Cricetulus griseus: one gene and its partner. The protein of the gene in region 2 interacts with the protein of the main gene of each other region in a pairwise test. Links are inferred from orthologs where the notes say so. Each region holds a gene or a part of one and is shown on either strand. Other genes may lie near its edges.

Region 1 (4,313 bases), on a different chromosome or scaffold from region 2:
AACTACCTAGCATCAAATGCTAAAGGGTTACATTTACTAGCACCTCCAAATGTCTCCAGGGAATGGATTCATGAACAGCAACCCCCGAGTGGAGTCCTGCCTTCCTAACAGATAGCTGGCTAGGATAGTGGTGCCACTGCCTATAAGAATACCTAGTATAAAGCCAGGTGGTGGTGGCGTACTCCTTTAATTCCAGTGCTCGGGAAGCAGAGACAAGCGAATCTCTGAGTTCAAGACCAGCCCTGGTCTACAGAATGAGTTCCAGGATATGTTCCAAAGCTACAGAGAAACCTTGTCTCAAAAAAACCAAAATAACCCAACAACAACAACAACAAAAACCAAAAATACCTAGTATAGAGAAAACAATATGTTCTTGAGAAACAGTTGTAAATTCTGTTCAAAGTTTAGTTCTAGAATGGCTCAGTGGTATGTTGCATGCACACAATCCTGGAATACCAAATACACAAAAGCATTTAACATACAAGTTAGCAAAATTGGAGAAAATATGCTCAAAAGAGCAGCCATTATTCTTTCAGCTGCATACTGACGAGCTAACAGCTGGGATTTCACGTCTCCTATTAGTACTCCATATGCTGTTTAAGCTATGGCAAAGTCTACTGTTGTGATAACAGATGTAAAAGGCTTTGGAAAGTATAGGAGAAATTCCAAGTGGAAATTGACAGTAAATAAGTTCAGATATTAGGATTTGCTAAACATGAAGATGTGACAACTTCATTTTGATCCGAAGTTAAGAATCCCACACATAGTCCCAAACGTGTTTTGTTTATTGCTCAGTAAATTGGGATATTAAAATTGGTTGTCCTGACAACTTTCTGGGGAAGCAGGTTAGAGTAGGCACTGGTTAGAGGAAAGCTGTGAAAACAGTAATCCTGTGTGAGAGAGAGCTTCAATTCAGGGCAACAATTATTAAATCACATTTCTATTATGAAGTGTTATATATGATGTTAGACAAGTATAACCAGCCTACCCTTGAAGATTTTGGATGTTTCTTAAATATGGCAAAGCAAAATCTCTTGCTTGGATTATATGAACTGCTTTCATATAGTAGAATGTTGCAATCGCATGATGACTGCTTCAGTCCTTAAGTATCAAAGTAGGTCATCAATCCTTATGGGGCAAATCTGAAATAGGCTAAGTATGTGACACATTCGTCTTCTGGACATGGAGAAATGTGATAGCAAATCGGCATTGTAACTGCTAGGTAGCTTCAATTATACAAGTACAGGTATCCATCTGGGCTTAAGTCGTTGCACATTAAGGGATCAAGACAGACAGAAATAAATAACAAATTACCACCTGTCCAGAGAGGTACCTGTTTTCTTTTTCTCTTTTCTAAGTAAGGGTCATTCAAGTCCACATTTTTCTTTTCTATCAAACTCAGTGGAATTGTGAACAAGTAGCCGTGTTTAATAGCCAACTCAAAGATGATAATTTTCACTACAAGTTTAGAGTGGAAATAATTCTCTAGAATAGAACAAACAGGATGCTTGGAAGAATTCCTGGTGATCACTCTGAATGGTGGTTAAGAATGTTTGCTCTGGAGTCTGCAGTGAAAACCTCATTTCCCCAACAGTATCTACTTGAGCCAGAGGTAACCTATGGCAACACATGATGTTATTGGGAGAATTAAAGGCGCCCATCATTGTGTTAAGAGCCTATCAGTGTCCTCAAGCGAAAAATCCTACTACGATTGTGCAAGAAAATGGGCCACTGGCTTCTAACTGAGGGCACTCTGAGATTGTTCTCAGGAGATGCCACAATCAAGAAAGCCAAGGCAGGATAATTTCTAATTGAAAATCCGAATGAAAAAAAAAAGGCATAATAGAACTCTTCTCACATAATTTCACTTGGCACCCGATAAACGACGCCAAAGTAATATATCAAAACAAAACAGTTTGACACCCAATTGTAAGTTGTACACTGGGGTGCTAAGGTCCGAACAGTGTCTACAGGCTCCTCATCCCGAGTGCGTGGGATCAAAAATACTAGCTCCCATATTCGGCTTTAGGGAGTCCACCTAACTCAGCTTCTGCTTTCTGGGAAACGGGATAACAAAACATCACTCTCAGAGAGTGATGGCGCGGGTACCGCACTGCTGTGCGGTACTGCACCCCCACCACCTGCAGCGGCTTGCAGACTCTGCGGGCCATGAAAAGCGCATGAGGGCGAGCAGGGCAGCAGGACCAGAAGCAGAGTCAGCAGCTTGCTTCTAGAGCGGGGCACACTGGTTCACCCCTGCCCACCTCAGAGGTCCCCGAAGGAGATAGATCCGCTCATCCCCCGAGAAAGCGCTTTCTTAAAGCGCCGAGCATCAGCCAGCGTTGCACATCCGCAGGGCCGAGGGCCGCGCGCTTGCTCCCGGCGGCCGGGATGGGCGGATCCGCTGCCAGGTGAGAGTGAGGAGCCCCCGGCCGCGCATCCCAGACCACCAGCCTAAGGAACTTTCTAGTACTTTCCACACCTGTCGCCTGCCGGGCCTCCACCCCCCAACCCCGGCGACCTCGCCCTCACCTTGTTGGAGGTCCCGGTGGTCGTACCACGGTTCATCTTCTATCTCAAACTCCTCCACCAGGTTATCTGCCAGCATGTCGCTGGGGGTGTCCGGGGGCAGCGGGCTCTGCCGCCACCGTGCCGTTTCGGCCGCTGCCCCGGGCTGTCCCCCGGCCCCTCCGCCCTCAGCCAGAGCCGCCCTCGGGCGGGACGCGCCGGCCCCGCCGCAACTCCCGCCGCCGGCCCGCGTCCGCCTCGCGCCGCCCAACGGCCAGCGCCCTAGAGAGCGCACCCCGGGTGGCGCCCGCAGCCGGCACCACACACCCGCTGCCCGGCCCAACGTGGCACTTTGGCAGAGCCCTCCCAGGCCGGGGAGACGATTCAAACCCGGGCGGCGCCTTGACCAATTGCGAATGGGTCCCTGGTAGAGCGACAGCGACTTCAGCCAATAGTATCTCAAAGAAGGTCGCGGGCCCGAGTGTCTTTGGCCAATAGACGCTCAGGAAGGAACAAAGGAGGCGGGTAAAGGCGGAGAGGGTGCGGCCGGCAGCCCCGCCCCTTTTGTTAGCGTCTCGTCTTCTCAGTGAATACACTCCTGTTCCGGAGCCTGGTGGAGGCGGCTGCGGCGACCCTCTCGGCTCCCTGGCGTGTCTTGTACCCAACTGAGGAGGACTCCCGGCTCTGGGCAGTGGGCATCATTTTCCCACCGAAGGTTTCGAAAGCGGGACAGCCCTCCTCGGCTTTGCCCTCGGTGATGCGCGGAGGGAGATTCAGGGTCCGTCGCGAGGTTAAGGCCGAGAGAACGCTATTGAGCCTAAGCTGCTCCTGAATGTCTGAGTTTGGGGGGATGGCAATTAACTCCTAAAACGGCGGTCACCAGCACCACTTGACATTCGAAGGCTGGGACCGGCCCGTGGGAAACGCCTCCCTTGGCAAAAGTTGCCAGCAGTTTTGCATAATTTTTTAAACGTTCATAGAGCCCAAGGTAAACATCTGGGAGCAGGCATTGCACTTGTGGCCAGCAGGGCAGTGTCCGCTTGGTGACGCAGACGTAATTGTTTCTTGGGTTGAGCTTTTAGCACCTTCGGGTGCCTCACGTGAAAACTCTAAAACGGAGAAAGGTCGGCGCAGCTGTTAGGATGTTAGAGCTAATAGATAATGTCTAAGGAGGAAACGAGAAGAATTATAACAAGTGAGGGGAGAGAAGTCAACGTTTAGCTTTGGCAATAGTGAGTCGCTAGATACCTCTTGAAGTTAGTAACGCCTTCATACACATCCGGAGTGTCACCAGAACTAAGATGGAAAGCAGTTATCCAAAAAAAAAAAAAAAAAAAAAAAAGTACACAAATTACTATGGTTAAAAATAGGAGAAATTGCTAGGTAGAAGTTACAGATCCTCAGCTACTTTTGTTTTTCCATATAAACGAATAAGGTCTTGGGTAATTTGGAGAAAGGAAAACTTCATCCTAATTTATTTTTTCAGTGCTAAGGATGAACCTAGTGCCTCGTACATGCCAGACAATCACTACCCCTAAGCTACATCTCCAGCCCATCTTCATTCTTGTGGGTTATAAAATCAACCTTGCTTAAATCATTGTAACACTAAGTGCTTGCTCCTGGGATAGTGGTCTGGTGAAGGCCAAGAAAGCCTCCCCAGTGTAAGTTTTATTTTTGTTGTTTGCACAGAGTCTCACTGTGTAGCCCCAGCTGGCCAGACACATGTAGATTAGGCTGACCTGGAACTCACAGAAATCCACTGACTCAGCCTCCAGAGTGCTGGGATAAAAACCATGCATTACCAC
Region 2 (3,647 bases):
CCCAGGAAATCCTGCCTATACCTCCTGCCTAGCTACTGGCTAATCAGCTTTTTATGACACCAATCACAGCAATACAGCTTCACACTGTGTACAGATAGCCCACAAGTCTACCAACCCTACAGTCTACCAACTACAGTCTACCAATCCTATAGCCTACCAACTACAGTCTACTAATCCTACAGCCTACCAACCCTACAGCCTACCAACTACAGTCTAAACTACAGTCTACCAATCCTACAGTCTACCAACTACATTCTCCAATCCTACAGCCTACCAATCCTACAGCCTACCAACTACAGTCTACCAACTACAATCTACCAACCCTACAGCCTACCAACTACAGTCTAAACTACAGTCTACCAATCCTACAGTCTACCAACTACAGTCTACCAACTACAGTCTACCAACTACAGTCTATTAACTACAGTCTACCAATCCTACAGTCTACCAACTACAGCCTACCAATCCTACAGTCTACCAATCCTACAGTCTACCAATCCTATGAGGAAGGCATGATGGGAGTGACTGTTCATGGCAGCAGGAATACGAGACAATTGTTCCTCACATGACAACAGTCTGGGAGAACACAGGCTATAACCACAAGTAGGTACAACCTTCAAGGCCCATTCCCACTGACACGCTTGTACCAGCCAGGCCTCGGGTCTCAGAGGCTCCACAACCTCACAGAATAGATTCACCAGCTAGGGACCAGGAATTCAGACACAGAAGCCCGTAGAGGACTTTTCACACACAAACCATTATAGATCCCAAAACAAAAGTTAGACAACTATATGTCCACAGAGCTTCTGCCACAGACAGAATAACATCCATTCTCAAAAGATCCTTTTACTAATGACTGTCATGGCCTTTCTCTAGAGTCCTTTCAACTCTGCTTCACCACAGCATACTGGTTACTCAGAGGCCACAAGGAACACTGCATCAGAGGCTCTTAGGTGGCCAGCTTACCCAGATCACAGGTCCATTCCCAGGTCTTGCCTGCTGTTTCCAAATAGGTACCTACAAAACAGAGGACATTCGTGAGTCTCATTCAAACCCGTCTAGATTCTTTATACCACCAATACACTAGTAAGTAATAAACTATTCCTTAGTGGACTGGGGAGATGGGACAGCAGATCTCACACACTGGCCGCTCCTGGAGAAGACCTAGGATTGCTCCCAGCACCCACATGGCAACTCACACACTGGCTGCTCCTGGAGAAGACAGAATGCTCCCAGCACCCACATGGTAGCTAATAGACATCTCTAACTCCAGGTCCAAGGGATCCAAGCCCTTCTTCTGGCCTCTGCAGGCACAGTGCACACAAGGTACACAGACCTGTATGTAGGCAAAGCACCTGTAAACATTTTAAAAAATTAGCCAGGCATAGTTGCACATGCCTTTAATCCCAACACTCAAAAGCAGAGGTAGGTGGTCCTCTGAGTTTGAAGCCAGTCAGGGATACATAGTGAGACCCAATTTCAGGATAAATAGATAAATTAAGTTAAATTCTGAAGTCAAAAACGTTTCTGTTTCTAAGCAATCAAGGTGAAAGAATAAAATCTAAACCCTACGCGCAGGCACCCTGCACAGTGAGAGTTCACAAGAACTGAAGATACTGCAGTGTTCTCCAGAGAGCAAGGGGCCTGCACCAGGAAGCAGAGGCCAGGCGGGGTCAGTCCTCAGTTACTCATGAGCCCTCTCTGCATCTCATCTTCTTCACGGATTAGGTGGAGAAAGTTAGCAGGTCACGGAGGCTCGTGCCTGAAATCCCAGCCTCAGCTATGTGATGACTGTGAAGCTAGTGGGCTGAGATACATGCGACCCGTCTCCAAAACAAAAGTAAAGTCAATAAAGTAAAACAGAGAAAGTCGTTTAGACCCTGCCTATTTCATAGAACTTCTAAGAGCCCCGAATGAGGCAACGTCCACAAAAGTGTTTGGAAATCCCAAAGGGCTACTTCTAATGCTCCCTGAAAGTTTACTCCAGCTCTATTCAAACTTCAGACACAAATCTTTACTTCAAATCAGAGTTATATGGCTTAATTATACAATTAAAAAAGCCCCAAGCTAGACACAGAGCATGCCTATAAACCCAGTACTCAGAGGGTCCCCACAAGTTTGTGCCCAGCGTGGTCTACACAATGGGTTCCAGGTCAGCCAAGGTCTACACTATGAGACTCTGTTGCAAAAAGCAAGTTGCTTGTGCATTCTACATAAACATGCCATTACATACTTCATTACCTACAAGCAAGGGACCAAATTCTCCTGAACCAAATCTAATGAAGAAAAAGAAAGCTGTTTGAAAGGCTGCTGTTACAAAGCACATTTGAGAACAGAATAGCTTCCAGACTGCGCTGAGCTTCTGATGTCACCGCCATCACTCACCAACTTACCATCTTCTTCTCATTTGATATGAAGACAGCGGAACACTCTTCCAAGGGATACTGGTCATGGGTTTTGATGTATTCACAGAGCTTCCAAATGTTCTCCTCGCTAAAATAAAATAATTGTTTAATCCATATCATTGGAAAGGACCTTAACCACCTCATCAGAGAGCTGGGTAACAGTGACTCTCCTCTAAGGCACAGTCAACAAGCTGCTAGCCAACCTGTACTGTGCACGCATCCAGACAGAGGACCACACCCACTGAAGACTATGACCTGTAAAAGAGTGTGCCAGGATTCCAGAAGCTGAGAAACCATTGGGATCCAAACTCAACACTAACAAGAAAAGCAGCTTTGTATTCTGTCTTCTCTAAGAACCGCTTGTCTCCTCTATAAAATGCACGTTTTCACGTACACCATAACCCTCCAGAAATCCCAATTAATAGAGAAATGTCACAGGACTTTTTTGTTTGGTTGTTTTGGTTATCAAGACAGGGTTTCTCTGTGTAACTGACCTAACTATGCTGGAACTCTCTCGGTAGACCAGGCTGGCCTTGAATTCAGAGATCTGCCTGCCTCTGCCTCTGGAATGTTGGGCTTAAAGGCGTGCACCACCACCGCCAAGCTCTTGACAGAATGTTTTAAATTAGATTTGATATAGAATTTAGTCCCTTAGTTGTAGCTGACAAACTATATGATGGCATCTTTATGCAGACTGCGTCCCCTCCTTCCCTCCCTCCCTCCCTCTCTTCCTTCCTTCCTCCCTTTTTGAGACAAATGTCTCATAATGTAGACCTTGGCTGACCTGGAACTCGATGTGTGGACCAAACTGGCCACAAACTTGTGGTGACCTTTTGAGTACTTGTGAACTACAGGCACGCTCCATGTGTGGTTTAGAGCCTTGTTAATTGCATAATTAGAGACAGACAGACATGAGAGACATACATACACACACTACATACATACATGCATGCATGTTTCCAAGCACTCAACGTCAAGGTGAAGGCGTGTGAAGCCCGCTCCTAAGCGCAGGCACCCTGCACAGTGAGAGTTCACCAGAACTGAAGATACTGCAGTGTTCTGCAGAGAGCAGGGGGCCTGCACCAGGAAGCAGAGGCCAGGCGGGGTCAGTCCTGTCCTTCCCATGAGATCTCTCCAAATCTTTCCTTCTTCACCGATTAAGTGGAGAAAGTCAGCAGGTCACGGTGGTTTGGGGTAGGATGCTCCAAACACCCTTTGGTAAGAAAGGTCTTTTAGAAAGCT

The links.
Region 1: the proteins of protein N-terminal glutamine amidohydrolase (region 2) and Cdr2 interact in binary tests that used the Homo sapiens proteins (3 or more experiments, as listed by UniProt). The two-hybrid records come from large-scale screens. The link is inferred for Cricetulus griseus from reciprocal best matches to the Homo sapiens genes NTAQ1 and CDR2.

Annotation. Positions count from the first base shown.
Region 1 is NC_048596.1:79,675,598-79,679,910, reverse strand, and holds the start of Cdr2 (cerebellar degeneration-related protein 2), read right to left. Parts: upstream 2,864-4,313; 5' UTR 2,609-2,863; coding exon 2,533-2,608; intron 1-2,532.
Region 2 is NC_048603.1:29,479,124-29,482,770, forward strand, and holds part of protein N-terminal glutamine amidohydrolase, read right to left. Parts: intron 2,494-3,647; coding exon 2,394-2,493; intron 1,018-2,393; coding exon 967-1,017; intron 1-966. UniProt on the Homo sapiens protein: Mediates the side-chain deamidation of N-terminal glutamine residues to glutamate, an important step in N-end rule pathway of protein degradation.